Linked DNA regions of Saccharomyces cerevisiae S288C. Changing the gene in region 1 together with any one later gene gives a genetic interaction. Each region holds a gene or a part of one and is shown on either strand. Other genes may lie near its edges. The genes, in order: EAF5, PAC10, SSF1 and STB5.

What was found.
Region 2: mutations in EAF5 (region 1) and PAC10 together harm fitness more than expected from each alone (negative genetic interaction), as found in Saccharomyces cerevisiae (3 studies listed by BioGRID, with this or other methods).
Region 3: mutations in EAF5 (region 1) and SSF1 together harm fitness more than expected from each alone (negative genetic interaction), as found in Saccharomyces cerevisiae (4 studies listed by BioGRID).
Region 4: mutations in EAF5 (region 1) and STB5 together harm fitness more than expected from each alone (negative genetic interaction), as found in Saccharomyces cerevisiae (4 studies listed by BioGRID).

Annotation. Positions count from the first base shown.
Region 1 is NC_001137.3:117,141-125,391, forward strand, and holds EAF5 (Eaf5p), read left to right. Parts: upstream 1-4,330; coding exon 4,331-5,170; downstream 5,171-8,251. Other genes in the region: protein transporter TIM9, read left to right, coding at 71-334; PXP1 (putative indolepyruvate decarboxylase family protein), read right to left, coding at 1,477-3,159; SUMO ligase MMS21, read right to left, coding at 3,358-4,161; PMP2 (proteolipid ATPase), read right to left, coding at 5,658-5,789; GTT3 (Gtt3p), read left to right, coding at 6,517-7,530; nucleotide diphosphatase/phosphodiesterase NPP2, read right to left, coding at 7,597-8,251. UniProt on the Saccharomyces cerevisiae protein: Component of the NuA4 histone acetyltransferase complex which is involved in transcriptional activation of selected genes principally by acetylation of nucleosomal histone H4 and H2A. The NuA4 complex is also involved in DNA repair.
Region 2 is NC_001139.9:634,234-641,950, reverse strand, and holds PAC10 (tubulin-binding prefolding complex subunit PAC10), read left to right. Parts: upstream 1-1,579; coding exon 1,580-2,179; downstream 2,180-7,717. Other genes in the region: YGR079W (uncharacterized protein), read right to left, coding at 119-1,231; PEX8 (Pex8p), read left to right, coding at 2,438-4,207; mitochondrial 54S ribosomal protein mL59 MRPL25, read left to right, coding at 4,374-4,847; U4/U6-U5 snRNP complex subunit PRP38, read left to right, coding at 5,076-5,804; mRNA splicing protein SMD1, read right to left, coding at 5,799-6,239; UPF3 (Upf3p), read right to left, coding at 6,484-7,647. UniProt on the Saccharomyces cerevisiae protein: Binds specifically to cytosolic chaperonin (c-CPN) and transfers target proteins to it. Binds to nascent polypeptide chain and promotes folding in an environment in which there are many competing pathways for nonnative proteins.
Region 3 is NC_001140.6:227,370-234,629, reverse strand, and holds SSF1 (rRNA-binding ribosome biosynthesis protein), read right to left. Parts: upstream 5,296-7,260; coding exon 3,934-5,295; downstream 1-3,933. Other genes in the region: exosome non-catalytic core subunit RRP4, read left to right, coding at 1-1,051; DYS1 (deoxyhypusine synthase), read right to left, coding at 1,334-2,497; hydroxyacyl-thioester dehydratase HTD2, read right to left, coding at 2,818-3,660; RNA-dependent ATPase RRP3, read left to right, coding at 5,593-7,098. UniProt on the Saccharomyces cerevisiae protein: Required for biogenesis of the 60S ribosomal subunit.
Region 4 is NC_001140.6:452,877-462,308, forward strand, and holds STB5 (Stb5p), read left to right. Parts: upstream 1-6,422; coding exon 6,423-8,654; downstream 8,655-9,432. Other genes in the region: CTR2 (low-affinity Cu transporter), read left to right, coding at 1-565; YHR175W-A (uncharacterized protein), read left to right, coding at 682-831; FMO1 (N,N-dimethylaniline monooxygenase), read left to right, coding at 1,353-2,651; ROF1 (Rof1p), read left to right, coding at 3,715-5,076. UniProt on the Saccharomyces cerevisiae protein: Binds to SIN3.

The DNA.
Region 1 (8,251 bases):
TACCTCGCCAGAACCAAGTAACAGTATTTTACGGGGCACAAATCAAGAACAATAAGACAGGACTGTAAAGATGGACGCATTGAACTCCAAAGAACAACAAGAGTTCCAAAAAGTAGTGGAACAAAAGCAAATGAAGGATTTCATGCGTTTGTACTCTAATCTGGTAGAAAGATGTTTCACAGACTGTGTCAATGACTTCACAACATCAAAGCTAACCAATAAGGAACAAACATGCATCATGAAGTGCTCAGAAAAGTTCTTGAAGCATAGCGAACGTGTAGGGCAGCGTTTCCAAGAACAAAACGCTGCCTTGGGACAAGGCTTGGGCCGATAAGGTGTACTGGCGTATATATATCTAATTATGTATCTCTGGTGTAGCCCATTTTTAGCATGTAAATATAAAGAGAAACCATATCTAATCTAACCAAATCCAAACAAAATTCAATAGTTACTATCGCTTTTTTCTTTCTGTATCGCAAATAAGTGAAAATTAAAAAAGAAAGATTAAATTGGAAGTTGGATATGGGCTGGAACAGCAGCAGTAATCGGTATCGGGTTCGCCACTAATGACGTCCTACGATTGCACTCAACAGACCTTGACGCTCACGCCGTAGCGGGCGACAAGTCAAACGGAACAACCGTTGCCGTTCCCATCGGAGTCCGACCTAGGCCGAACTCCGTGAATTTCTGATAACAACGGTCGGTAAAGACTGGTTCCCCAGTATATTTCTTCTCTCAGGAGCAGGGGCCAATGCCAAAAGCGACATTAACCCGGAGGACAAGGCTCCACTGTGTTCCACCGAATTTCCCACCTGATAATATCTGATAACCCGCCCATAGGTGGGGATCCTTCTGTAAACAGGTTTCTTAATCGTAGGAATTACCACTGTTCCACTGCCAATCGCAGCTCCCAGAGTTTCGTTCCCAGCCGCGAGCACCACAGCGTACCATGTGCGCCACGAGGCCTCAAACGTAAAACAATCGAAACGAAAAGAAACAGACTATAGGGGAGTATAGAGACAGCCGGCCAATAAGAAGAGGAAAAAGAAATACTAGCGTTTATCAATGTGGGTCGTTAACATATCCTGTTGACAATGATTACAGGTTAAAAGGTAGCGTAAGTGAATATTAACTATGGATATTCTTATACTTAGATAAGAGACATATAAAACACACGATGATTGATTGATTTTTATGACCAATATATGTAATTCGTAATTCAGATAGTTTTTATACTTTTAATGTGTGCCGAACCATATTACTAGTATATGTAACTACCATGTTATGTTCAATTGGCAGATCTTTAACTCGGCTTTAGTTATCCAAGTTACTTGCAATATTTCCTTCTGCGAGAGTACATTTGCCCTTAAACGTATACGAGGTATTCATTAATGTGTGTTGTAAGTATTTAGATTGACATCTATAAGAGAGATGAACATATATATATATATATATATATATATACATGCATATTTACTATAAACGCGGTTTATTCTGCCAGGCAAAGGCAATTTGCTTTTGTTCGCCAGGCTCAATGATAACGTTGATGACACTTGTTTCTCTTTTAGTCCGAGAAAGCTGCACGGCTTGTTGGAAGCATCTGCTCAGTTCGCTTATTGTGTTGACAAAAAAATCATTGGCACCCAGTCCTTTGCCTACGAGATCGTAACGGCAGTTCTTGCTTAGTGCCGTTGGAGGTAAATCACCCTCTATATCCTTTTCTCCATGGTAAATACCGCTATTGTTCATCACAACGATGACCAATGCCAGCTGACACCTTACTGCCGTTTCAATTTCCATGGCAGAGAATCCAAATGCGGAATCACCCTGAATCAGCACCACATCGAGTTCCGGATGAGATGCCTTGCATGCAAGAGCATATCCGAGCCCAATCCCCATAGTCGCGTTGGTCCCTGCGTCTAAACGGCGCCTTGGAGCGTCTGTAGGGAATGAAATACGCGCAATATCCATAGTATTTGCTCCCTCCGTCACAAGTATTGTCCTGTAATCATCGATAAGAGGCCTCAATGTTCCATAAACCTGGTTGTAATTCAATTGTGCCCCTCTAGTCTTCTCTTTCCTCAATAGACGAGTTTGATTCAGTTGAATTTTCTCTCGTATTTCTTGCTTAACACCACTATACTTCCAGCAGGAATCTTGGCGAGTCAATTCCTCAACTAAAGCGGTTACGCTCAAGCCTATATCTCCCCATATGGAAAGGTCAGCACCAGGTGAGACATTGTTATCCCCCAAGGTTTCGGGATTGGAATCGAACTGGATGAATATGGATTCTGAGTTCCATTTGGGTGAAGTACCAAAATGCAATATCCAGTTTAATCTTGCCCCGAGAACAAGAACAATATCCGCTATTTTCAATGCTTGAGATCTTGCAGATGAAACGTTCAGTGGAGAAGAGTCTGGGACAATTCCCTTAGCCATTGGGGTGGGTAAAAATGGTAGATTGAACGTATTTACTAGTCTGCGGATTTCGTGTGAGTTTTTTACCGCACCCTTTCCAATAACAATCAGAATATTTTTATTTTTATGTTGCAAAATAAGCTGTACGACTTTTTTGATCTTCGACGGATCAGGGCCACATATGTTTGGAGTTAATATCATCGGTAATTCATTTCCTGTACGGTCGTTTCCTTCTAAGGGTTTTTCATACTCAATAAAATCTGCAGGGACGTCTATGTAAGAAACCCCTGCAGTGCCTTGTATACAGTAATTCAAAGCCTTCTGAGTAATCATGTCAATATTGTCAGGGGTTAACTTTCCGGTAAACTTCAAAAATGGGGACAAAAGACTAACTTGATCCAACTCTTGAAACCCGCCTTTATGTATATCACTTTGAGAAGAACTCCCTGCAATTACTAGAAGAGGCCACCTATTACTCATTGAGTTGTATATACCAGCCAGTGCGTGGATTAAACCGGGGCCCCCGACAATAAGTAACACGCCGGGCTTATCACTAATATAACCATAAGCAGAGGCTGCATATGAGGCAGCCTGTTCGTTCCTGCATGGAATGAATTTGATACCGTTGGCAACCATCGTATCCGCTAGTTGGACAATAGGGATGCCCACAATTCCAAAGACTGTGTCGATGCCATATTTTTGTAAAAGTTGAGCGAAGTGTTGGGTAGCGGTCGTGGTCATATTGATGGATGGTTGTGACGGTTTGAATGTAGAGAGTATATTCTTCTTATCACATAAAAGTAACCAATGCCTTTTTTTTCCTTTATATATAATGTGGTTATATACCAACCTTTTGTAAATTTCCAACTTTTTTCTTTAGTTAGCTTTGCTTGAACTTCGGGCCGAAGGGCTCGGATAAGAGAAACAATAATTTTGTTTTCATAAAACATCGATGGCTTGACTACTTCTTTTATCCTGTTCCTGAGATTCTTTCATCTTGGCGATCTTACACCTTAGTTCCATAATAGGGTCTCTTACAAAATCCCTCATTGAAACGACTTGAGAACACGCTGCTTGCGGGCAATCTCTTGTCGTGTATCCTTGTAAATAGTTTTGAATGCCGTCTCTATCGAAGACGTGATTACATTTTCTTGATATCAATGGTGCTTCGTAAGGTTTGCAGGTGATAGGACAAGTCAATTCAATTTTACCACCTTCTATTTGTAGATCGTCTTCGTCTGCGGGGTTTTGCAGATCCGGTATTACACAAGTTGGATCATTCCATATGTACGGCAACACTTTTAGTATCTTGAGTGTATCTGTGTTATTAACCATGGTTGCAGGCTCTGGTGTGGGCATATTTAGATATAATTCAGATAATTTGGGAGCGGTGAGTTCTCCGGTACGATATTTATCCCAGGTAGAAAGGTCGATTTGCGGACAGGCATCTGAGGATTGTTTGAAATTTTTTTTTAAATCTTTAATATGTTCGTCAAATGAGTTGGATTCCGATTCGTATGTCGAGAGGAGTTTGTAGGTGCTAGTAATATCTGCGACCTGCTCTTCAATGCCGATGGTGGAAGGAGATGTAGAATCCACTAATTGATTTATGGTCTCATCAATTTGTTTGTAGCATTGTTGATATATATTTGATAAGTCTCGGGCATGTAAATTATGGAAGTACTTACCTGATTTTGGGTGTAGAGGAACTGACTTGGGTATAGGATTATCGTTCAAGGCCATTTTTAAAGTTATTCTTTTTTTATATAGTCTTGCCTTGGTTTCTTTAACTGACACGATTATTTTAGCAAGTTTTTTTCTACACAGGAAAAGAGGAAGAAAATAACCAGAGAAGCACTGGTAAAAAGATACTTCTGCGTGCCGGAGTAACCAGAATCAAAGGAACGCATAGATGGATAAAGAGGTAAGTGAATTGGTAGTGTTGCAGCTAATACACACTTTAATTTCCAACAAGAATGAAGAACTGGTTAGGAACGGGGGAGGAATCAACATGATTGGGAATAATCTTCGAATATCGCTAGTCAAGTTGACTAACGAAATACAAAACAATTTGCTAATCAACGAGCTGACAAATTTAAGAAGGCAAAGCAACGTGGCAAATGGAAACAGGAAACTGGGCATCAACGATATCCTGACCATAGTTAAGAATTTATTCCCAGAGTACAGAACAACACTAAACGATGGACAACTTAGTCTACACGGTTTGGAAATGCATGATATCGAGAAGCTCCTTGACGAAAAGTACGATCGATTCAAGAAAACGCAGGTCGAACAAATAAGGATGATGGAGGATGAGATATTGAAGAACGGTATAAAGACCGGTGCATCGCAACTGCAACCACATGCAAATGCTGGCAAAAGTGGATCTGCTGGTACCAGTGCTACTATAACTACGACTACGCCACACATGGCGCATTCAATGGACCCAAAAAGAGAAAAACTATTGAAATTATACAGAGATACCGTTCTGAATAAATTGGAAAGTAAAACTGGGAATTTTCAGAAGCTATTCAAGAGTCCCGATGGTAGCATTATCAAGAATGAGATAAATTACGAAGACATAAAGAACGAAACGCCCGGCAGCGTTCATGAACTGCAGCTGATTCTTCAAAAGAGCATAACGGACGGTGTAATGCGAAAGGTCATTGGTACGGACGACTGGAAATTGGCTAGACAAGTGCAGTTTGAATTGGATGATACGGTGCAGTTCATGAGAAGAGCACTAGAGTAAGGAGATAGTAGGCGACACTTCGAAAATCTAAAGTCTTGTAACATTACTATTATATACTATTTTATTAAAAAAATACACACACAATTCTTTAACAGAACAATATATAACAAATGAAGCGACATGTTTCTCAAAAAAAAACATAGTAGGTAGGTAAAAATGGGAAAGAACGGGACAAACAAAACGAAGAGCAGGGTGTATTTGCCCACACACGGCAAACAACATCCATTCACGCCCGCATGCCCAAAACTTTTTTGCGATAAAACGCCCACGCAAATCACATCGTTCCAACAGAGGAATCGAACAGCACAGATACAAAGTAGGAATATAGCACACACACAGGAAAAATTAATTAATTATTAGAAATTAAAAGGGTTGGGGAGAAAAGAGGTCTAATTTATTCATTAATATTCAGTAATTGAAAAAAAAAAAAAAAAGAGGATAACTAAGAGAAAACAACATCAAGCTCGTTTGGCTTGCTAGTGATCGCTTAGAATCTTTGTAAACCTCTTTGTCTAGCTTGCCATTTTCTGTAGATAATGGTAGAAATGATGGCGATACAAGCCAAACCGACTAGAATAAAAACTAAGATAACACCACCTGGTAACGTGCTCATCAACATCTTTGTATAATTGTTATTGTACTATTTATTGTTTTGTATGTATACGATGGAGAAAAAGAGAAAGGAAGAAGGAAGGACGAAAGAGAAAAAACTGGAAGGGAAGAAGAATTGATTTTATATTAACCAAGAGGAAGGAAAGGAAATTGAGTTGTGATTACGGAATTTTAGTTTTTTTCACTGTTTATTTAAACCAAAAGGTGTGGAAGAGAAAGAGAGAAAAAAGTTCTGTAATTCGTTAAGGAAATTAAGTATCCGCGCCGGAAAAATAGCGAGAGGTTTTTTTTGATGCAAAAGCTAGGGAGGGCTGCGGACGGATTTCGAAAACAGCTCAACAGCGTGGTGACGAGTTGCGTCAGGGTGTTGGCCAGTGCTACCGCGGGCGGCGCTGCACAGGGAGTAAGCAGAGCGGGCTAGAGCGCGGTTTTGGAGAGGGCCCGGGCTGCTGTGGTCGTAGGATTGCGGTAATTTAGTGGCTCGCCCTCGTTTGTCGTGCTTTTTCCGAGTTCCGAAACTCTTTCCCGAGCTGTTAATGTGCTAAAAGTGGTAAATCGTATATGATGATATACGTATATGATGATAATTTCCTGCGCGCTACTTGCGTGCATTCGTCACTCATAACAAAAAGAACTACACAATACGTAAACAACGTGCGAAAATATCTATATACAAGGGGAGAAAACAAAAGTGAAAGTGCATTACAGCCCATCACAGATCATTATAATACAATATGCCGACCAAGTCAACTTTTAGTCGCTGGAAGAAGGCGGACCTAATTGACCTGGCCAACAAGCTGGAAATTGACGGCTTCCCCAATTATGCCAAGAAGAGTGATATGATCGATTACCTCGAATCGCACTTGAATCATCTTGAGAAACCTGTGGATTTTAAAGACGACTACCCGGAACTAAGGTCCTTTTATGAGTCGATGACAGTGGACCAGTCAAAGGATGAACGGAACGAATACGGATCCGGATCTGGAAACGGGTCTGGGTCTGGATCCTGTGACACCGCCACAAATGATTCCGATCTGGAGAAAGCGTACATCAAGGAGGATGATGATGAGAAACCGCAATCAGGCGATGAAACAAGCGCGACAAAGCCGCTTTCCAGCAGGAATGCAAATTCAAACGCCAAAACGAACTTCAATTTGTTGGATTTTAGCACAGATAACGACTCGTCCACCTCTGCGTTTACTAAGTTCAAGTTTAACTTTCAGGAATACCTCTCCGATATTAGATACCAAACGCAGAAATTGAATGAAAATGTTCAGGACTATCTTTCCACTATTTCCGCCGTCGATACGATTTTTTCCTTGTTGGAATTCTCTTTTCTGGTGAGAAACATATTAGCCGCCGGGCAGCCAACTTCTTCTTCTTCGCTCGCATCGTCGCTGGAAGCCGCCGTTGCCGCCCATAATAAATATCAATACACGCTCGATTTCTGTTTACCAATACTCACGTGGCTGCTCTTCTTTAGGGGTATTCCAACGTTAGTGTCATACTACATCAACTTCATCCGCTACGACCTGAACATCGAGTTGGACCCGATGACTTTCAATCTCACGAAATTCTTGATTTCTTTGGCAATCTTCAAAACTTGTAATAATAAAAACATAGATTTCCATTCTTTTCGATGTGTTAACCAACTATGGACACAACTCTGTACAGTGAACCGTTCCCTTGGTATGGTACCTCTAGTATTCTCCATGGTTAGTTGTCTCCTCACTCTATACGTATTATAGTATATTTTCTTACATACGTATACACACGCGTACGTAAGCCGCGAAGTGTGTATTTACTACTCTGTATTATTGTAATAAACTCTTCTCCTTCTTTGTCTTTTCTTCTCCCAAAAGCGCACTTGCCTTGATCAGCATATTGTATACTTCGATGTTTTCAAATGGAGGTACGACTTCATTGTTGAACATCGGACCCATTCCAATGAATATAGATGCCATATCACTACAGTTGTTAAAGTTGTATCCATGTGTGCCCATAATGCCGATAGGCACATCACCCATTTCTTTTACAATGGCGTAGTATTCATCTGCGAGAATCCAGATATCGCCGACCCTATCGTCATATCTGTGCTTTCTGTTATCGTATTGGAAATATTTCCAGCTCGGGTCGAAATCTTCTTTCAGGATCACGTGAAACTTCCTCGATATTTCATCTCCATATGCTTTCTCTAACTGAGCTTCAATCAAGTCACAAATCCATTGCTTGTCTCGAGGGTTTTTCAAACATACCATCATCATGGGGCCCTCGTTATAAAGATGCGAAATAAATGCGCTCATTGCGTCGGCCGGGAACACCCTTTCCCACACAACAACATGCTCACCGTCATTCGCGTTGACATTGCTCATGCCATGGTCACTAACAATCATAACATTGCTAATTTTCAACAAGTTTCTTTTTTGCAGGCCTTCAATCAAATCGAGAAAGAATCCATCGACTTCACCG
Region 2 (7,717 bases), on another chromosome or scaffold:
GTCCAAATAGTAAAAGATATAGATCTTATAATGACATATTTTTCAAATCCTACAAAAACAAGTTACCCTAACACTGTATAAAAAGAATCTATTTATTGTACTGTTAATAGTACTGTTATTACAACATGAATTCACCGATACCAAAACCAGCTGATAACGTCTGGCAAACACCACTCTTTCTTCTTATGGCCCTCTTCAACAGCTTATCTCTTTTAGACAAGGGTTTCCACTTTTTAGAAATTGCAGAGGATGAGCGCAGGGAATTCTTCAAAAACTTCCTTTTTTTCAAGGTGAACTTGCCCTCATTGTCTCTGTAGCACAATAACTTGATATTGTAGTCCAAATTATCAAGAAGGGAGGAAGATGGTGATGAAGATGGGGAGGGTTCCATGGCTTCAGCACTGTTGATATCATCTTTGATGAAGTCCTCTATTCCCAATGTGTCGTTCGAACTCGTGGTGGCGTCGCCTGGATGCAGAGCCACGAGGGAGCATTTTCTTTGTCTTGTCTCCTGCAGGCAAATGGCCTCTTCTGCAGTGCCATTTACTTCCTTCCAGAAGTCCGTATTATTTGCGTCACTCTTGCTATTGTCGCCGAAAAAGAATGATTGCTGTATCTGTGGTAGAAAGATACTGCTCTCGCTGCTATCGTGGAAATTATTCTTGTTGTGATTTTCCTCCATGGGTAGTTCATTGTCCGCACTGTAACTAAATGTGCTGTTGGTGAAGGAAGGCTGGTGGCATGGGGAGAAGAGAGGATCAGGCTCAGAACTATAGCCGAGCGTACTTTCGAGGTCGTCATCATCGTCATCATCGTGTAAATCTCCGTTTTGGGTGCCATCGTCCTCGGTGGCGTTCTCAGATAGTGAACCGGCAGTATCTATCGAACGAGCAGTGGTGATGATGATTGGGGTGGCCTCGACTGCACTGGCTGTGGTGTTTTTACCATCTGCTGTCCCGCGAGTGTCCGCTTTCTTTGTGTGCGATCTGGACAAGGGAGTAATATCCTCCTTGGTGATGACCTTATTCGGTACCTGAAATGCCTTGCTGCTTTTATTCATTGCTACGTAAACTATGCTATATGATACAAGTGAACGCTCGTCGAGGGAATAACTGCTGCGTGTGCGTGAACGAGTAAATGAATGAATGAATGAGTTAACACATGAAAACGAAGATAATCGCAAAACGACAATGAACAAATAAACACATCCCTCATTTGCGGCACTGCTCATCTCATCTCATCCTTTATATTAGGAGGCAACGAGCTTTCTCGCTCACCAAAAAGAAACGTGCGAAAAAAACCGAAAAATAAAAAAAAAAAAAAAAAAAAAAAAGAAACGCGCTGCAGGAACGTGACTTCCAAAAAAGGAAGGTGCCGTTCCAATATGGAAACCGCAGGCACTCATGATTGTGCAGGACGGGTAACACATGATTTGTTTCGTTTCTTCGATCATTTTGCAGAACTGGTCAGAAAAGAAAGTGAAAAAATCTAGTTTAACACTATTGTAGAGGCTATAAATTGTAGACAACATTTACTGCAGAAAACTGTACGCACATATATAACAGATACTACGGTTATTATGGACACACTGTTCAACTCCACGGAAAAGAATGCCAGAGGCATACCGCAGGCTCCATTCATCGAAAATGTCAACGAAATAATTAAGGACCCAAGCGACTTCGAATTGTGCTTCAATAAGTTCCAAGAACGGCTTTCTAAGTACAAATTTATGCAGGAATCTAAATTGGCTACGATAAAGCAGCTGAAGACTAGAATCCCGGACTTGGAAAACACATTAAAAATATGCCAAAGTCTGCGCAATCACAGCGACGAGGGCGATGAGAGCGATGAACCTATCCTGTTGCACTACCAATTGAACGACACGCTCTACACAAAGGCTCAGGTTGATATACCGGAAGATCGGGCGGATTTGAAAGTTGGGTTGTGGCTTGGCGCAGACGTGATGCTGGAATATCCCATCGACGAGGCCATAGAGTTGTTAAAGAAGAAACTCGCGGATTCCGAACAGTCTTTAACGGTGTCCACCGAGGACGTAGAGTTTTTGAGGGAAAATATCACGACAATGGAGGTCAATTGCGCGCGATTGTATAACTGGGACGTTCAGAGAAGGCAAGACTTGAAGCAGGCTCAAGAAGGGACTAAAAACCTCAAGATATAATGTGTCTGTAAATTTAAATCCAAAGAAAAATAAAGGGCACTACATAGAACAACACAATCAACCTACATAGCTCTCTTTTTTTTTTTTTTTTTTTTTTTCTTTTTTGTTTTTTCTCAATTTTCTTCATTTTTTGCATTGTTACTACTCTCCCATTAAGGGAAATTCTACCAGGAAAACCGAAGAAGACAAATGCAAAAGGGAAATATGAATACGCATGTATGCGCGCAAAACCGCACTTACAGAGGGCATTAGGACATTATGTTTGATCATGACGTCGAATATCTGATCACTGCACTCTCTTCCGAAACGAGGATCCAGTATGATCAACGCCTGCTAGACGAAATCGCGGCCAATGTGGTATACTACGTCCCAAGAGTCAAATCCCCCGACACTTTGTATCGCTTGGTCGGAGCACTTTTCCGATCGCAGTTCATTGTCCAATTACCACCACTACGCCTTTTGCACATCGTCAAAGATGTTTTCCTTTGGAAACTGGAAGTTTCTGAGCCCACGCTCCCAATTTCGAAGTTTTACTTGGTTTGGAATGCTGTTTTCGAATCTCACCGAGCCACGTGGAACCTTTCACAGTTGATGGTTTTGGATGGTGTACTAGTCACATACCCGAGCTTCAAACAATTGAACAACGCCTATTTTATTGATGAATCCAGCAACAAAACTGCGCTTTATTACAGAAACTGGAAATTACAACTGTTTTCACCAATATGGGCGCAGCTATGGAATACTGCCATTGTCAGGGCTAATTTATCGATTCAGCATTGCCTTCTGATAGCATTAGCTTTACTTTTTAATCAGTCAAACCGAAGCGCCCTTTTGCATGGAGTTGACGTATCATGGAATTTGGTCACAGAGAAACTATTGGACCTTTTGGAAGAGTATGTACACGGCATTGTGCAGCCGATGGAAATTTTTTCGACTGATTCAGTCTTATCAACCAACTTGAATCATTTGGCCAGTTGCTTGACCAGTTCAATCACGAGGTCAAATGAGGCAACTTTGGTAAATTCAGTACGCAAACTAGAAAGGATATGTCGATACTTGTCCGATACTGTGGCTTCGTTGAAAGAACAACAACTAGATTTCAAGTTCCAAAATGTATTTATCCTGATAATCCTCGCGTTAAAAGAATTATCCGCCATGAATATGACAATACTGCCTAACCATAAAGACACTTTTTATTCTATGATCTGTTTAAGCCTTTTCCACGTCCACGTATTGACTCAAAAAATCGGGACAGTCGGTTTTCCCAGTTACGATTATGTTTACGATAATTTAGTAACGTATTTCATTGTCATGGATGACTTGTCTAAAATCACTACAGTTTTGGAACTAATGAAAAGAAACAACACCAAACAAGATCCAAATAAATTAGTGTTTTACATCAATTTTCTAAACAAAATTACTAATTACTATGGGTGTCGCATTCGTTTGCCGTTTATTACTGAGTTTATCGAACCTTTACTGCATTTCGATGTATTTTTTAGCGGGAAGACGGGCAATACCTTGGATATTGAAATCAAAGAATCTATACACACATTGACAATCACTGTACTGTCTATAGACTCCTCTTATTCCTCACAGGTTGCACAATGGCAAGTATCCCGCATACTCGTCTATTTAAAGATGTCGATGGACCAATTTATTGCAGGTAAATTGTCCGCAAATCAAATTTTACTTATATTCGGCCATCTATCCACACAACTTCCCTCACTACATAATTATAACAAGCATTTGCTTAGGGACTCTTTGCACGAGACGTATATCAGAATTGTTAATGTAAAAAACCCAGAAAAGAAGAATGTATTGATTGAATGTCTGATTGTACAAATAGCCTTTATCAACAATCCTCATCATTTGATCGGCTGGTTGAACATCTGTCTCCAGCTAATCAATACACATAACAAAAAGCTACTTCAACAATTGTGGGAAATGGTTTCGAGTCTAGAATCCTCCCTAGCCATCGACTGGTGGTACACAACGGTCTTATCAAGTCAATCTTCTAAATTATAGTATCATTAAGTACTTTATAGTAGCGCCTTTTTATATTCCTTTTTTCTCAAACAAAAAAAAAAAATGACTGGGATACAAGTGAAAGTGGAAGAGCAAGTGAAATACGAAATAAAGTGAACCATTTATACAGAATAGGAAAACCAACTAGTGCATTAAACTAAACTCCATGTCATACAAACAGTATTTTGATAGTTTGCCTTTGAAATTGAAGTCCTTTTTCCAAAGATACCCCCCTTCAATCAAGTATTCTCCAGTGTCTACATCTACTAAAGCCATTAATGCCAATCCTTTCCTGCCAAATAAACATCCGGTCACACAACGATTTCATGATCCGAAATATTCACTTAGAAGAATGAGTGACGTATATAAGTTGGCACTGCGTTATGGAGTAGAAGAGTTTTTACCACCGATCGAAAACACTAAGAAACTTTTCTTCGAGGAGAAATACAATAAAAAGACCCTCATGAAAGGTGTTCTCTTGCCCAAGGGTCATAAGCATGAATTGAAATTAAACGAAAAGCTAAAAAAACGTGAAGAAGCTTTAAAGAAGGTAGATGAGTTGATTGCTTCCAAGAAGGGTTCGAAGTATGCCAAGAGAGTAGAAAAAATGAAAAAAAACCAAAGTATAGGCTGGTTCTGAAGAATAAGAGAGAAGATAACTATAGTTTAGAATAGTAAACCCTATGTGTACTGTTTTATGTTTTTAATGTCTAATCATGTAAATAATTTTGTGATATCAATAACGAACGTTCTGAACAAGAATTATGATAAAAAAAAGTAAAATCTAAAGCCATTACAACGCTATATTTTCAGTGGCAGTAAAAACGCAAGAACAAAAACAAAACGTGGGTAAAGAACAAGGACTACAATGGCTGTCAATGAATTTCAAGTGGAGTCTAACATCTCTCCAAAACAACTGAATAACCAGTCAGTGTCACTTGTTATTCCTCGGTTGACAAGAGATAAAATTCATAATTCAATGTACTATAAAGTAAATCTAAGCAACGAATCTTTGAGAGGCAATACAATGGTAGAGCTTTTGAAAGTTATGATTGGCGCATTTGGTACCATAAAAGGTCAAAATGGTCATTTACACATGATGGTTCTCGGTGGCATTGAGTTTAAATGCATCTTAATGAAGTTAATCGAAATCAGACCGAATTTCCAGCAGTTGAACTTCTTATTGAATGTAAAAAATGAGAACGGTTTTGACTCGAAATATATTATTGCTTTGCTTCTGGTTTATGCGCGGTTACAGTATTATTATTTGAATGGCAATAACAAAAACGATGATGATGAAAATGATTTGATAAAGTTATTTAAAGTACAATTATACAAATATTCACAGCATTATTTCAAACTAAAAAGTTTCCCACTACAAGTAGACTGCTTTGCTCACTCCTATAACGAAGAACTTTGTATAATACACATTGATGAATTAGTCGATTGGTTGGCCACACAGGACCATATCTGGGGTATTCCATTAGGGAAATGTCAATGGAATAAAATATACAACTCTGATGAAGAGAGTAGTTCTAGCGAAAGCGAAAGTAATGGTGACAGTGAAGATGACAACGACACCAGCAGCGAATCATAGACCTCTTCTTGGCCTTTTATTCGCTGGTGCACCAAAATCGCGCCTTCTCTTTTTGCTGGGGTCATTTGCAATTTGACCCGATCTTCTTAGGGAATTAAGTTGCTTTTGGTCAACCAAAAGTGAATCCAGGTTCAAGGAATCAGGTAAGATTATCTGTCTTATGGTATTGCCTCTAATGTTTATGTATTGCAAACTTGCTATGTTGTCACTTGCAGTAGGTTGCTGTCCTCCAGTCAAGTACAGACTAGCCATCGCAATACCATTACTGTTCAATTTATTTAGTCGGGGTTGTGGTAGGGTCAACTTCACGTCAGTTAAGATAGCATTCATTTGTGGTGATACCGACTGCAGTGTACCCCAAACGGTGGTACCGTTTTTTAGTTCTATGGTAACCTGCTCATTGCGCAGCTTTTTTAAAAAGTTAACCAACTTCATAATCTTTTTCTCGACGATTTATAAACGATACTTGGAGTCATCTTTCTTCATGACAATTTCATTGTATATGAACATTTCATATATTTTATTATTTTAAATATTCATTGAAAAATCATTAAATACGAAACTCAGAATTTATAATGGGGAATACTTTATGTAATAATATAATCATAAAATATATAATTCTTATTATTTTATTATAAATGTATTCCATATATAATATATAAGAAGCCATGAGCTTTTACTACTTCTTGGTATCATCACGATGCAAAATTTTTACCCGTGGTACGAAAAGGTTTTCTTTAGGTTGGAACGACGGCTGGGTTTGAGCGGATGATGACTGAGGCTGAGAGGAGTTTGATATTTTTAACTTCTCTTGCAAAAGCATTTTCTTCTTCCTTTGTTTCAAAACCTCTTTACCCGCTTCCTCAATAATAACCACATTACTGTTCTTGGTCTTAGAAATGGTGCTTTTTTCACGATTTTCACGCTTCTTCTTGCCTCTGTTCCGTTTTTTCTTTGGTATCTTAGCGGATGCTTCCTCTTCTTTGAATTTCTTTTTGGCGTTTTTATTTTTCTTCTTTTTGTTCTTATTCTTGACCTTATCACCAGTTCCAACCAGCTCTGTTAACACCCTTTCTGTTCTTTCTGCTATTTTATTTTCTAACTCTATGCTTTTTGAGAATTCTTTTTCTAAAGATTTCAATACGCTAAAATCTTGGAATGAGTACTCGTCATTTTCATTCAGCTGTTTCATTGAATTCATAAATGTTTTAAAAATTTCGTCTTCTTCAATTGTTCCTACTAGCGCGGCATCCTTTTTTGATGTTTGAGTGAATTTCTTTACGTAGGGCGACAGTTTCATATCTGGAATTGTAATATTATCCTTATTATCAATGAATTTACAAGTTTTAATGAAATTTGCGCATTTTTCCAAGTCTGATAAGTTGTCGAACAAGAAATTGCACCGAGAATATGTCGAGTTTTTGAATACTTTACTAGAATAATGACCTTCAAAAAAACACCAGTCACTGTACTTGAGTTTACCCTGGATATCTTGCTTATCACCATCATCGTTATTATTATCTCGTAAGATGGCAAAAAATTCATCTGCAGTCAAATTTGGAGGTAGCAATCTAATAACAAGCTTAAATCCTTCATTCTCGGTTGATTTACCCAATCTAGCCTTTCTTTTATAGTTATAATACTCTCTGTTCCTTTTCTTGTTATTCCTTCTGCCTTTGCTATTGTTGTGGGTAGCATTAGTAGCATTATTAACCTTATTCTCATTCTTTTTAGGATCTACCGTCTCATTCTTACTTTTTCCTCTGTTCTTGTTATGATACCTATTTCCCCTGCCTTTCTTTTTCCCCTCACTATTCTTCAATTCCCCAGCCACATTGCTCATGATAGATTACTATATATTTCAGCAGAAATGTAAGTCCCTCAGTAGGTTTTCCTTTCCTCTTTGCTGATAT
Region 3 (7,260 bases), on another chromosome or scaffold:
GAACGGTGCCTTCCAAAATTCATCTAACCTGTCCTATAACAACACAGGGATATCAGATGATGAAAATGATGAAGAAGATATCTACATGCACGATGTTAACTCAGCTTCTAAAAGTGAGTCTGATTCTCAAATTGTGACGCCAGGTGAGCTGGTCACTGATGACCCTATCTGGATGAGAGGTCACGGTACGTATTTTCTTGATAATATGACGTATTCCTCTGTTGCTGGTACTGTATCCCGTGTCAATAGGCTGCTATCGGTAATTCCATTGAAAGGTCGTTATGCCCCAGAAACTGGTGATCACGTCGTAGGGAGAATTGCTGAAGTGGGTAACAAGAGATGGAAAGTAGACATTGGCGGTAAGCAACATGCAGTACTTATGTTGGGCTCTGTGAATTTACCGGGTGGTATTCTAAGAAGAAAATCTGAAAGTGATGAACTACAAATGAGAAGCTTCCTTAAGGAAGGTGACCTCCTGAATGCAGAAGTTCAATCATTATTTCAAGATGGTAGTGCCTCTTTACATACAAGGTCTCTAAAGTACGGGAAGTTAAGAAACGGGATGTTTTGCCAAGTCCCGAGTTCATTAATAGTGAGAGCCAAGAACCATACTCATAATTTGCCCGGCAACATAACCGTAGTTCTCGGAGTCAATGGTTACATATGGTTAAGGAAAACATCTCAGATGGACTTAGCGAGGGATACGCCGTCTGCAAATAACAGTTCCTCAATTAAATCAACTGGACCCACTGGTGCGGTATCATTAAATCCCTCCATAACAAGACTGGAAGAAGAGTCTTCATGGCAAATATATTCGGATGAAAACGATCCTTCCATATCGAACAACATACGACAAGCAATTTGCCGGTATGCGAACGTGATCAAAGCGTTAGCGTTCTGTGAAATAGGCATTACTCAACAACGTATAGTAAGTGCTTACGAAGCTAGTATGGTTTATTCAAACGTAGGTGAACTGATTGAGAAAAATGTAATGGAATCCATAGGCAGTGACATTCTTACCGCCGAAAAAATGAGAGGTAACGGCAACTAATAGGAATACAAAAGCCGCTGTTTACACATTTATAAACTACACAGCAGACTCCAACGCAATTTATGTGTATAAACTTACATAATGTCATGGCTATGTACACACGATTAGTACGTATAGAAATGCAATTGACTCATCTTTATTGCAGACATTACATCATATTTTGTTGATATTATAGTAATATGTTCATTTTTTTATTTATCTCTATATTAAAACAAAACTTTTGCACTAAAAAAAGAAATAGTACAGATTCATTTTTTTTTTTTTCATCTCAAAATTCTCTCATCAATTCTTAACTTTTTTGATTGGTTTACCACTGGCAAAGGTAGCAGCAACAATCAATGGAAGAACAGTGGTGACATCAGCAAAAAGTTTGACGGATTTGGCTTCAGCCTTGATCTTACCCCAAGACACAGCTTCGTCAGGTCTTGCACCTGCATCAGAACCATCGTATTCTTGACCAGTGTTAATGTAAACGGCATAATCAGCACCATTTCTCATCAAACAAGCATTGGCAATGTGGTGCTTGATCAAACCACCACCCAAGATGATCATACCGGCTCTGTAAGCGGCCATGGACATTGAATTGATTTTGCGGATATCTCCTACAATGTCAACTCTTAGTTGTTTTGGAGATGCTTTAAAAGTATGGAAAAACAACATGTCACCGATTGAACCATCAGTCAAAGATGGACAAAAGATTGGAATTTTATTCTTGTGGGCCCAGTACAATACGGAGGATTCGTCGTTGATTTCCTTACCAAAACGATCTATCATCTTAGATGGGGTCCAGATTGGTGAATCCACGTCTTGGTTAGCCTCTAAACAGTCAGCGCCATGTTTCTTTACGTATTCATCTTGTTCTTCCAACATCTTATCCAAAATTGGGACAATCCATTCTTCAAACTTACAGTAGTTATCATTTGGAACAAGCAAGTTACCAATACGATTCATACCTTGGTCACGCAAAGATTTACCTTTCAAAGCAAATTCACCCAAGTAAGTTGGAGCAAGACATTTGATCAAATCTTCTTCCACACCACCAGCAGAAGTAACGACAGCATCAACCATTTTGTGTTGCACCAAATAACGTAAAGTTTCACGTACACCGGAACTGATCAAGTTAGAAGTATAACCCATGAAGATAGTAGTCTTTTGGTACCCTTCCTCATCGAAGCAACCTTTCTTTTCATGGTCATCCAATTCGTCAATATGCTTACCTCTCCATGATCTCATACTATCAATAATCTCACAGGCAGTACCAACAGAACTAGCTTGGAAACCCATGGTCTTCATAGCTTCAATTAAATCAGTTGCTCTCATATTAGTGGCTTCAGGCTTTGAGTAATCAATACCTTGAACCTTAACGAAGTCATCTGGAATAGGAACAGATGCTTTCAAGACAGCGTCTTGTAGTAACTCTGGGAGTTTTTCGTTGATATCGGACATCTTTTTTGCTTTGACTTGTATATAAGTTAACTAAGCAAAACACGACTTTACTCTGCAGTTAGATACAAAACTGATAGAGGGAAGTACTTTGCGTCAAAATGGAAATATACATTACATTTAATTTTTCACTTTACTTTTTATTTTTTTTTCCCACCTTTTTTTCAGTTCTTCCCGTAATGCGTTTACCGTCAACCTGGTGATGGCGAGATATTATGGTAATCTCGTTCGTGACCTTCCACTGTTCAGCAGCTACTAGTATTATTTCAAGAGACAAGAAACACACAGGTAGTGATTATCTGCAGAGAGACAATTACTGGTAGTCAACAGAAAACATCAGCTTTCATGTAGACTAAGTTGGCTTTCTGGAGGTCCCTAATTTGAAATGTGTACATTCCGCTCGAAGAGCTTAAAGACTGACATATGCTCAAAGTAGTGTTTGGATATATATAATTCAAATTGCGGTATCGCAACTGTCTGATTGGTTGTTCGAGAAAAGGTTGGATGCATTTCTGTAGTAATTGGACCGAGAAGGGTCCTTGCATGATAATATCGTCGTAGCCTTCAACATAGCGACTGTACTCTTTGTCCCAATGAATTCGGTGCGGATTCAAAGACATCTGACCATAAGCTACAATATCCATATCAGTAACAGTAAAATTTTTTAAGATCTTATAGTTCTCCTCTCCTACGGGCATCTTGACTGCAGTCTTGTTTGCGGGTGAATTGGTGTACATTAATACCCTTCTCTCGAATAAGCAAATGTCCATTGGACTCGACACATTTTCGGGCCTTTCTTGTAAAAGGGTTCTTTCAATACAGACAACATGTTCATCTCGTATTTTTTTTACGTATTTGATTGATTCGTGGCATGTATACTCCTGGTCTAAGGTGACTGGTAAATACTGAACAAGCTCTCCTTGTCCCCAAATCCTTCTACGGTAGCGTAAATCAGGGTTTCCTAGCAAACTTGCAGGATTTTGATAGTTAAAATAACCATCTCTATCCAATTTTTCGAATGATGGTGGGAAGAACAGGAAATGTTCTCCCAGTTGAAGATGCTTCGTTGCCTTTGATACAGGGAGTCTCCTACAAAGTAAACTATCAAACGCTTTGGTTCGGTGACTAGATAAGACATCCCTGAAAATCCACGTTTTGGATTTCATGCTGATAAGCTGTCTTTAGATAAGTGGACGATTGCCCACCTTCAATGTACCAGCCACGCTCATGTATCGAAACAGTAGCTTAAAATGGCGTAAAAAAGGTAAGATCGAATTTTTTTTCACATGCCTTCTGAGATCTACGTTTCCTTTGGGCTATGATTTAAAAGACAAAGAGTTTATATGTATCAAGTATGCAATTTATCTAAAGTGAAGAAGTATACGTGCGTTGGTGGATAGCCAGGCTTAACTAAAATTTTCTTGGTACCGGAGAACAATTTATTCGACCTCACTAAATAAGTCACTATCTAGATCCTCTGGTACGCTACCATAATGTTCGCTGTCACTTGATGAAGACTCATCATCGCTCATCGCATCATCTTTTCCTTGACCTTCACCTCCTTCTGCTGCTCTAGCTTTTCTTCTTTCCAATTTACGTTGCTTTTTAGCGTCTTTAACAGCCTTCTTTTTAGCAATGTTTTCTTCTTGTTCCTTCTTTCTTTGTTCCTTCAGCCTCATTTTTGCAGCGTGTCTCTTTTCTAAAGCTTTGATTTCTTCGCTTGATTTTTGAACAAATTCATGATGTAACACTTTACCTGAACAAATACCTTCTTCTATCTTGACCAGTTTTAAAGTTAATCTTGGTCCTAATTCAGTTAGTTTGATAGCTTTCTTACGTGGGGTTGGTTGCAAGTTTTCTGAAGGCTTAGGTTCCTCCATTTCCACATCTTCTTCTTCTGTTTCTTTTTCACGCTCTTTATTATCCTTCTTTTCGACCGGTGTTCTTTGGGACTTCAAACTTTGAGAATGCTTTGCCTTCACGTCCTGATTATCAACTACTCTCACGATAGCGTCATCTTCAATTTCAGATTCTGATGTATAGGCGCCTAAGTCGTGATCTAATATCAAAGAAGAAATATCTTCTTTTCGATGCAAATTCGGCACTGTTTTACTTAGATTATTTTTGGCTTTATAAAGCCTTTTTAGGTTTCTAGAGATCTCTACTTCTCGAATGTCAATAAAATAGTGGCGCATAGAAATTTCCCCTGTTTCCCTGTCTTTATTGATCATAAATACACGTTTGATAGAATTCAAAGAAGTTCTCGCAGGATTCAGAGGTGGGAAAATATTCTGAAACATAGAAACAATGACCTTCTCCACGTTTACATCCTGGTCGTCTTCACCAGATCTTTTGGATGTGGAAAACCCGTTTAGCACTAGCAATGGAGGATTTAATACATCATCATTATTCAACGATTTAGGTCTCTTCAAAAATTTTTTGATATCTCTACCCAGAGAATAGTCCAATACTTGAAAAGTAACAGTAGGACCTTGCGGAGTTCTAGCTATCTTTAGGGAGACATTTCCTGTTTTTTCAGATTGAGTGAACATAAAAAGATGCGTAACACCTAATGGGCCACACATAACAACGAAATCCTTCAGTTTATTGGACTTGCGCTCTTTCAATTTTATAGCCGTATGTGGTTGCATGATTTGGCGGAAGTCCTTTACTAATTGGTTCAGAGAATGGTTGGCCAAAGAAGTTTGACCCACTCTGATTACCATTGACTTAGGTATACCTTGTTCCTGCTCAGGTGTAAGCTGTGCATGTGTTCTTTTCTTTTGTCTTCTCTTGGCCATCTTGAAATTTTATTGTCTGCTATATCTGGATTATACTCTTTTATTATTAAACATACTACTCACTCAAACCCAGATATCGAACTAATATCGCGATGAGATGAGCTTCTTCGTCTACTTTTTTTTTTTTTTTTTTTTCAGTGAAAAATTTCAATTTCGTCTAAGGCGATAAAAATGAAAAATTTAAAATTAATCAATGAGCATTTAGCAATTGTACATGGTATACACAGAATTGTGACATATCTTAGAAGCAATATATACCAAGATTCTGTTAAGTACTTCACTGAATCAGCTATAAAAATGTCCAAAATTGTTAAGAGAAAGGAAAAGAAGGCTAACGATGAATTAACTTCTTTAGCAGAAAAGATTAGAGCAAAAGCTTTGGAAAATCAAAAGAAGCTTATAGAAGCAGAAAAGGAAGGTGGTTCAGAGTCCGATTCTGAAGAAGATGCTACTGCTGAAAAGAAAAAGGTTTTGAAATCAAAAAGCAAATCCACAGTATCAACCCAAAATGAAAATACTAATGAAGATGAATCTTTTGAATCCTTTAGCGAACTGAATCTGGTCCCCGAATTAATTCAAGCTTGTAAGAACTTAAATTATTCCAAACCCACTCCCATTCAATCTAAGGCAATTCCTCCCGCGTTAGAAGGTCACGATATAATTGGACTTGCGCAAACAGGTTCTGGTAAAACTGCTGCATTTGCTATTCCCATTTTGAATCGGTTATGGCATGATCAGGAACCATACTATGCGTGCATTCTAGCTCCAACAAGAGAATTAGCACAACAGATCAAAGAAACATTTGACTCATTAGGATCCTTAATGGGCGTGAGATCGACATGTATTGTGGGTGGTATGAATATGATGGACCAGGCCAGAGACCTGATGAGAAAGCCACATATTATCATTGCTACACCTGGTAGATTAATGGACCATTTAGAGAATACCAAAGGGTTTTCACTGAGGAAACTGAAATTCTTGGTTATGGATGAAGCTGATAGATTATTAGACATGGAATTTGGACCTGTTCTTGATAGAATTTTAAAGATCATCCCAACCCAAGAAAGAACCACTTATCTTTTTTCCGCTACTATGACTTCCAAAATTGATAAATTACAAAGAGCAAGTTTGACAAATCCTGTGAAATGTGCCGTGTCAAACAAATACCAAACCGTAGATACATTAGTGCAAACACTGATGGTCGTTCCAGGTGGTCTTAAGAACACATACCTAATTTATTTATTAAATGAATTTATTGGAAAGACGATGATCATTTTTACAAGAACCAAGGCCAACGCGGAAAGGTTGTCAGGATTATGTAATTTGCTCGAGTTTAGTGCCACTGCGCTACATGGTGATTTGAATCAAAACCAGAGAATGGGATCTTTGGATCTTTTCAAGGCAGGTAAGAGGTCTATTCTCGTGGCTACAGATGTCGCTGCGAGAGGGTTGGATATTCCATCAGTGGACATAGTTGTAAACTACGATATTCCTGTGGATTCCAAGTCCTACATTCATCGTGTGGGAAGAACCGCAAGAGCTGGTAGATCAGGAAAATCTATCTCACTAGTATCACAATACGATCTGGAATTGATCTTAAGAATTGAAGAAGTTTTAGGTAAAAAACTACCGAAGGAAAGTGTGGACAAGAACATTATATTGACCCTAAGAGATTCCGTCGATAAGGCTAATGGGGAAGTTGTAATGGAAATGAACAGAAGAAACAAGGAGAAGATTGCCAGAGGTAAGGGAAGAAGAGGAAGAATGATGACAAGAGAGAATATGGACATGGGAGAAAGGTAGGCTTTGTAAGCATGGTTTACCTTTTAACGCCCAAAAGTTCAATTTAACTTAGAAATATTTATCTATATGTTCATATATACATCTATCAATATCACATAAAATTGCCTATCATTTCTTATTCGTTTCCTATTTGTTTCTCGAGCCATTCATAACTCATTCCGC
Region 4 (9,432 bases), on another chromosome or scaffold:
TGATAAGAAAACATGGAGTACAGTCACTTTGAGAACCTTCAATCAGCTGGTAACGTCTTCGTTAATTGGATACTCAAAAAAGATGGATAGCATGAATCACAAGATGGAAGGAAATGCGGGCCACGACCACAGTGATATGCATATGGGAGATGGAGATGATACCTGTTCGATGAATATGCTATTTTCGTGGTCATACAAGAATACGTGTGTCGTCTTTGAATGGTGGCATATCAAGACCCTGCCTGGACTGATTTTAAGTTGTTTAGCAATTTTTGGTCTAGCCTACCTCTATGAGTACTTAAAGTACTGTGTCCATAAGAGACAATTATCCCAGAGAGTATTGTTACCAAATAGATCTCTGACCAAGATCAACCAAGCCGACAAAGTGTCCAATAGTATTCTATATGGTTTGCAAGTGGGATTCTCATTCATGCTCATGCTTGTATTCATGACTTATAATGGTTGGTTAATGTTAGCTGTCGTGTGTGGGGCAATATGGGGTAATTACAGCTGGTGTACTTCGTATAGTCCTGAGATAGATGACAGCTCCCTCGCCTGCCATTAAGATGGTGACAAATATTACAAATTTGATACTATTTGTATCTATTTTGTTTTTATCCGGGATTTTTCGTATTTCTTCCTCATTCATACCCTTCCCTTTATTTGTTCCCACTGAGTATAATGATAAACTACGTTAACATTACATGTATAATATTTAGCACTCGTACGTTACTAGTCTTTGACACAAGTTTATATATCCCCCCCTTTATGTTATCGTTTATTGGCTACAGCCTCAGTAATCAAAATAGTCCACTATTTCTATATCATTAACTTCTGCGTCGCCAAGATGTTAATCATGAAACGATCTAGTTCTTCAACAGTTTGCCAGCGACCATTCGAGCTAATCTTGAACAAAAGTAATACTATTTAAGGGTGGGCGCGGGTTGTTATACCGTTTTGAGACGATCTACTATAACGTTATATTTAATTATATAAGTGATGAATTTAATGTCCCGTCCACAACACGAAATCGCACCTCATTTCAACGCGGCAAGTATTAATGTTCTGCTTTATGAAAGATTCCATGAACCCTTTTCTACCTTTTAAATTCCTCTTTTCACTCTTAATCACATGATATTACCTTTACATAGGAAGCGCCAGACATCTTTTTGCCGAGAAAAGCCATTATGCAAGATAATCCTGTAGCCTCATATCAAGGATAAATGCCACTGCAAAAACGCAGTCGTTATTTGGGACTGTATTTAAATGGGCCACTGTTTTTATACAAGTCGAAAATACAATAATACAGAAAATTCAAGCAGGAAGCGAGAAATAACAAGAAGTAACTAGGCATGACAGTGAATGACAAAAAAAGATTGGCAATCATAGGTGGGGGGCCAGGAGGGTTGGCAGCTGCAAGAGTTTTCTCGCAAAGTCTTCCAAATTTTGAAATAGAAATATTTGTAAAGGATTACGATATTGGCGGTGTCTGGCATTATCCAGAACAAAAAAGTGATGGGAGGGTCATGTATGACCATTTGGAAACCAATATATCAAAGAAGTTAATGCAGTTTAGCGGCTTTCCCTTCGAGGAAAACGTCCCTTTATATCCGTCTCGAAGAAACATTTGGGAATACTTGAAAGCCTATTACAAAACGTTCATTGCCAACAAAGATGCTATCAGCATCCATTTCAGCACCGAAGTTACCTACTTAAAGAAGAAGAACTCTCAATGGGAGATAACATCTAAAGACGAACTAAGGACTACTAAATCGGATTTTGACTTCGTTATTGTTGCGTCTGGTCACTACAGTGTCCCTAAACTACCAACTAATATCGCAGGTCTCGATCTATGGTTCGACAATAAGGGCGCCTTTCATTCTAAGGATTTCAAAAACTGCGAGTTTGCCCGTGAAAAAGTCGTTATTGTGGTGGGAAACGGCAGTTCCGGCCAAGATATTGCCAACCAACTAACTACCGTTGCAAAGAAAGTATATAATAGTATAAAAGAGCCTGCGAGCAATCAACTGAAGGCCAAGTTAATCGAGACTGTCCAAACAATAGACAGTGCCGATTGGAAAAATCGTTCAGTTACTTTATCTGATGGAAGAGTACTTCAGAATATAGACTACATTATTTTCGCCACAGGCTATTATTACAGCTTTCCATTTATAGAGCCCTCCGTTAGACTGGAAGTGCTAGGTGAGGGTGTTACTGGCGACAAGCACTCGTCTGTCAATCTGCACAATTTGTGGGAGCACATGATCTATGTAAAAGATCCTACGCTGTCCTTTATCTTGACCCCGCAGTTGGTCATCCCGTTCCCGTTGTCGGAACTACAGGCGGCTATTATGGTCGAAGTATTCTGTAAAAGCTTACCGATAACTACAACTTTCGACTCTAATGCCTGCGGAACGCACAACTTCCCAAAGGGAAAGGACCTGGAATACTATGCAGAACTACAGGAACTACTGAATAGCATTCCACGTAGGGTCGGTCATTTCGAACCAGTTGTATGGGATGATAGACTGATCGATCTAAGAAACAGTAGTTATACAGACAAAGAAGAAAGAAATGTGCTTCTAGCGGAACACGCACAAGCCCTAAAGAAAAAAAAAGCACCATACTTCCTTCCGGCGCCACATACTTAACGTAAAAAGGAATGTACTTGTATAGAAAAAACACATATTGTGCCGCTTAATATTTCGTTTCCCTCATGTATATACCTTATCGCTGTTAAAATAAGAAATCTTCACTTCTGCTATCTTTTTTTTTCAAACATTGATTAATAATCCGGCCGTCCGCAGATTGCTTACGCAGAATATACCGTACCGCCACCGTAAAATTAACGAATACTTAAATTTCCGCCTCTTCCGTTTCGGCAATAGCGAACCTTAATGTAAGTTTTTAAAAGGCAGCGCCAAAAATTGCTCTGAAAGGCCTGCAGTGCTTCGCGGCTACGCAGTTCCCATGTAAAAAAAAAAGAAAACTTTCTTTTTGAATCTGGAAAATCCGCACAGGCGCGCCAGCATAAACCTCAGTATCCTGCAAAGGCCATCCTTTTAAAGATCTTAACAACGTATGAATCTGAGGCAGAGAGAAATTAAGCGATAAACGTTCCTTTTAGACTTTCACTTTCTTGGCCGTCATTTAAAAAAAAATTATCTAATAATCTCTAATTTTAAGTTGAAATCACGCTAACATATGACTATGACTATTAACCTTTTTATGTGGAAAAAAAAGGAAGAATATGTTGTAAACGTATTTTAGCCTTGTTCCCGGAACTTTAATCACTCTGGCAACTTTTTAAGTAGTCTGTCTTTTTCTCGGTCGTATATTCCTCAAAATTCAAGAGGAAAGAGGAAGTGAAGAAGAAAGCCTAGAAAAAAAAAATAGGCATTAACACAAAAACGCACCTAAGGGACTGAGGAAAATCAAAAAAATGATAATTGCAGTTAGTAAATCTTCATAATCGACGCCCACTTATTCTTTCTTTATAGTACCGGGTAGGCGGGTAATTCATACGTAGCTGCTGCGGGAGAACTACTATGTATCATTCCCTGTTTATTTGTATGAATTATTATTTAATACGTACATTCTTGTAAGCCCTTCTTCAACAAAACAAACAAATAAAGCGAGAAAAAAGGGAACCACGAATTAAGATAATTAATCAAACAATAGATAGGAAAAGGAGATCGACGAGTAAGCGTAAGAATGATGGATATCAGCCCTACCTGTTATGGGTACATCGACGACGAGCAAGATCTAGCCCTTGTTTTCCAGGGCGTATTCAATGGAAATTTGAGATGCATCGAACGGAGGCCATATGATGCAGAAAAGGTTGAATTAGTCAACCCCGGAAACATTTTTGTTTTCAACGAAGAGAAATCCGGCATCAAAAGATGGACAGATGGTTTTTCTTGGTCTCCTTCAAGAATTTCAGGCAAATTTCTCGTATATAGAGAGTATAATAGGCTGGGTTCCACGCACGATCTACCGCTGCATAATGTACCTGAGTATAATATCTTCGAGAGGGCTCATAGGAAGTATTTTTATACTGGACTACTGAAAAAAACATTTTCTCTAAAATTCAATATGGATCCCACCGACAGCACTAAGCTGGAAACATTTCATCTTATTGCGTACTATACGGAAAAGGATATTCATCAAGGAAGTTTGAGGAGACCTTCAGAAAATCCTTTCTTCCATAAATTTCGACCTTCACAGAAACTATTAGATGCTTTACAAAAAGTTGCTGTAGGAAATGGCAGATCTAACCCGTCTAAAAATAATGAGAGAGGCAGAACCAAAGCTCATAATTATAAAACGCGCAGGTCTTTATCATCTTCTCCGAGCTATTGTGATCTCTTGAGCAATTATAACAACCATCCTGGAAATATTCCAGTTAGGACCGCAGTTCAGTTACCTTTAACCACCTTCAATAACGCTCCTCGAGAAATGCACCAACAGCAGCACCGACAACAGCAACAATATCTCTTACCCATAGATGAACAGAATAAATTACCTCTCCCGTATATGCAGCACCAGCCACAACCAATTGGTGTTTACAATCCTAACTATCAGCCTGGATTGAGACGTACGGTCTCACAACCTATGATTTTCTGCAATACATACAATACTCTCCCGCAACAACCTACTGCAGCACCTTATGAACGGCGTGGCGTGTCGCCTTCAGTGATATACTCCTCCAATACATTGAGCCCAATACCATACCAAAATATCGATCCATACTCTTCGAGGTCGGGTCCTGAATGCAATCACTCTAAGGCGCCTATCGCCCCAACAATGATGCCCCCAGTACACCATATACTTGTGCATGATTACCGACAACCAAAACCAGTCACAGATTCTATTAATCCTCCAAATGTAAACATAACCACCTCCACAACCAACAAGAACCTAGATGGCATTTATATTTTGCCAGCTCCTCGTATGAATCCCCCGGCTCAAACACAATACCAAATGATTCATGCGCCAGACAGCATGCAACATCCACCAACATTTAGTAAAAACAACACATCAAGCAATCCTAAATCCCACCAATACTCAAAGTAGAAGATCAGCATCCTTTCAATTGCTGAAAGGTTCACCTAAAGTACCGCTCATATTCCAAAAGGATTCTTCACTACATAGAAAGGGCAGCCAATTGTGTGTTTTTCAGAAAGGGTTTTAAAAAAACAGGAGGGTGCTTGTTCTTGTTGTTCCCTACCATCGATGGATTTCGAAAAACTATTTATAGGACCATCTGATTTTCACCTCCATCATTGTATCATATACTAACAAGCATATCCAAATTTGTAATTCTATCATGAAATTTCCAGAGAAAGAAACGCAAGGGAACTGAGAAATCAAACCTAAAAACGGTTCTTGGCATTGTTATGAAAAATGAATAAACCAGGGGGGCAAAACAATCGAGAACCCCAATCAAAACCATGTGAGATACCCACTTCGAAAGTTACTGATATTATAACTCTTGTGTCCTCTCTTCTAATACCTTACTTTCACCTTTCTCACGTAGTTAAAGTTGCAACAACACATTTTGTCCTCATCCAATTTCTTCTATAGAATATCCGTTTGCCTCCAGGAGTGAAGAAATGATAGCAGTAACACTGTGAAAGCGAGACTAAGAGAAACGACTTAAAGCTCGAAGACTTCTTGAGGATACGTTTATGTTTCTGTGGCTTCTTCTTCGCGGCGCGGTTCTCGCGTATAGGAATGTTCTAAGACAAGAAGGCATGAAGTTATGTTAACAGATTCTATATCTACTCGCTACGCATATATAAACGGATTCATCATTGAAACAATGGTACTTGTGGTAATGTGTACGACGATTTCAACCCGAATAAAAGCAAAAGTGCAAAAAAAAAACAAGAAGCGCTTAGCACTGTTGAATCATTTAGAACACTACTAATGCTGGTAATACACTCAAGAATGAAGAGTGGCTTACTCCATTGTTGATGCAAAAGTTGTAAATTTCACGAATTATTTAATGCGTTCCTTGCAACCTTCTATTTTGATGAACATCAGGAATTGAAACAAAAAAAAGGCTTCAATCTCAACGGAAAACGGGAAGAAAACTACACTCGATTATACTATATATGCCAAGAAGATTCTCCGACAGATTGTCTACTTAATTTCACATAATATATCTTGTTTTACTAGCTTATTATATAGCGTCGCATTTAATTCATGGCGCCATCACCCGCAGGGAATATAACGACAAGGCCGATACCACGGGAAAAATAGGGCGAGCGGAAATACTAAAAGAAAAATAAGCTTCCGAAATAAAACACCGACAATGAAGTTCTTGGCAAGGTTCGGTTATTTCCTCTACGTAACAAGAGGTATAATATCCGAGCGTACAGGGCTAAAAAATTAATACAAAGGTGTAAAAGAAGGACATGGATGGTCCCAATTTTGCACATCAAGGCGGGAGATCACAACGTACTACTGAATTGTATTCGTGCGCACGATGCAGAAAATTAAAGAAGAAGTGTGGTAAACAAATACCGACATGTGCAAACTGCGATAAAAATGGGGCACACTGTTCATATCCAGGTAGAGCCCCAAGACGTACCAAGAAGGAGTTAGCGGATGCTATGCTACGAGGGGAATATGTTCCAGTGAAAAGGAACAAGAAGGTAGGAAAAAGCCCATTGAGCACTAAGAGCATGCCAAACTCTTCTAGTCCGCTATCCGCAAATGGCGCTATAACTCCCGGGTTTTCGCCTTACGAAAACGATGATGCACATAAGATGAAACAGCTAAAACCGTCAGATCCAATAAATCTTGTCATGGGGGCAAGTCCAAATTCTAGCGAAGGTGTCTCATCGCTAATTTCGGTGCTAACATCGCTGAATGATAATTCTAATCCTTCTTCGCACTTATCCTCTAATGAAAATTCCATGATTCCTTCCCGATCATTGCCAGCTTCCGTGCAGCAAAGTTCGACAACTTCATCATTCGGAGGATATAACACGCCTTCACCACTAATTAGCAGTCATGTGCCTGCGAACGCCCAAGCCGTACCGCTACAAAACAACAATCGCAATACTAGCAACGGGGATAACGGCAGTAATGTTAACCACGATAATAACAATGGCAGTACCAACACACCGCAATTGAGTCTTACCCCATATGCAAACAATTCAGCCCCCAATGGGAAATTCGATTCTGTGCCGGTTGATGCATCCTCGATCGAATTTGAAACTATGTCCTGTTGCTTTAAAGGTGGTAGAACAACATCGTGGGTCAGAGAGGATGGCTCGTTCAAGTCAATTGATAGATCCTTACTGGACAGGTTCATTGCCGCATACTTCAAACACAATCACCGTCTATTTCCCATGATTGATAAAATAGCATTCCTAAATGACGCCGCGACAATTACTGATTTCGAAAGGTTATATGACAACAAAAACTACCCTGACAGCTTTGTTTTCAAAGTATACATGATCATGGCTATTGGTTGTACAACTTTACAGCGTGCTGGTATGGTTTCTCAGGACGAAGAGTGTCTGAGTGAACATTTGGCTTTTTTGGCCATGAAAAAATTTCGTAGTGTTATAATTTTACAAGATATCGAAACTGTACGATGCCTATTGTTGTTGGGTATTTATTCGTTTTTTGAGCCAAAGGGCTCCTCGTCATGGACAATTAGTGGTATCATCATGCGATTGACCATAGGATTAGGTTTAAATAGAGAGTTAACTGCCAAAAAACTCAAGAGCATGTCTGCTTTAGAAGCAGAGGCAAGATATAGAGTGTTTTGGAGTGCTTACTGCTTTGAAAGGCTAGTATGCACCTCGTTGGGCCGTATATCCGGGATCGACGACGAAGACATCACTGTGCCACTACCGAGGGCGTTGTATGTGGATGAAAGAGACGATTTAGAGATGACCAAGTTGATGATATCATTAAGGAAAATGGGCGGTCGCATTTATAAACAAGTCCACTCTGTAAGTGCAGGGCGACAAAAGTTAACCATCGAACAAAAGCAGGAAATCATAAGTGGATTACGCAAGGAGCTAGACGAAATTTATTCTCGAGAATCAGAAAGAAGGAAACTGAAAAAATCTCAAATGGATCAGGTGGAGAGGGAGAACAATTCTACTACAAATGTAATATCCTTCCATAGTTCTGAGATTTGGCTAGCAATGAGATACTCCCAGTTGCAAATCTTACTATACAGACCATCTGCATTGATGCCAAAACCGCCCATTGACTCACTATCCACTCTAGGAGAGTTTTGCTTGCAAGCCTGGAAACATACTTATACACTGTACAAGAAGCGGTTATTACCCTTGAACTGGATAACCCTTTTCAGAACATTAACCATTTGTAACACTATCTTATACTGTCTTTGCCAGTGGAGCATCGACCTCATTGAAAGTAAAATCGAAATTCAACAGTGTGTGGAAATACTAAGACATTTCGGTGAAAGATGGATTTTTGCTATGAGATGCGCGGATGTTTTCCAAAACATTAGCAACACAATTCTCGATATTAGTTTAAGCCATGGTAAAGTTCCTAATATGGACCAATTAACAAGAGAGTTATTTGGCGCCAGCGATTCATATCAAGACATATTAGACGAAAACAATGTTGACGTCTCTTGGGTTGATAAACTTGTATGACATATGTTCACCGAGTTTTGTCATGTCGTCATACTATACGGCAGCGGCTTGTTGCTGCCGTTTAATGAAACAGTTTTTTTCACGACAAGATTCTTCTATTGATTATTCACATATGTATTTTAATGAAAAATGAGTACTTTATAACACAACCCTAATGACAAATGAAAAAGTTGATTGCCATGAACTCTTAAAGCGATTTATGAGAACAATTAATTGATTATATATATATATCTTTGCAATTATGTCGTTTGTTGCAAGATGCTTCTGAAAGTAAGTAACTCTATAAGATAGATAATGCTACAAGACGCCAAACGCAAGTGAGTAAGAAATAAGAGCTGGCAGGTCTTCGCCGGAACACTATCATCAAAATCACTACAATTTAGCGGCTTAGCACAATACGCGTTTTCAACTTCCTACGCTAGCGATGACAAAATGTCTCCAAGAGGCGGAACTTGCGACGGATGCATGGAAATATCTTACGTAATGAACTTCCGTAATGAACTTCCGTAATTCAAGATCTCTTAGCATCTCTTGTTCAATCTTCAGACTCTACTAAGTGTTCTTACCAACCATTGGATGCTCATTACAAATGAATGAATATATTGCACGGAACGGAAGCGGCATGCTTTTTCCGTCTCGTGTGCTTAGTAAAGCAAAACGGAGTAGAATCGGTAAGAACTTCCTTTTTGGGTTGGAAAATCATTGCCATTGTTTGGACACCTTTCTTTTTCCGTATTGTTCGAGCACCGCGTTTCTTTTTGGGTACTTGATGAGGTAG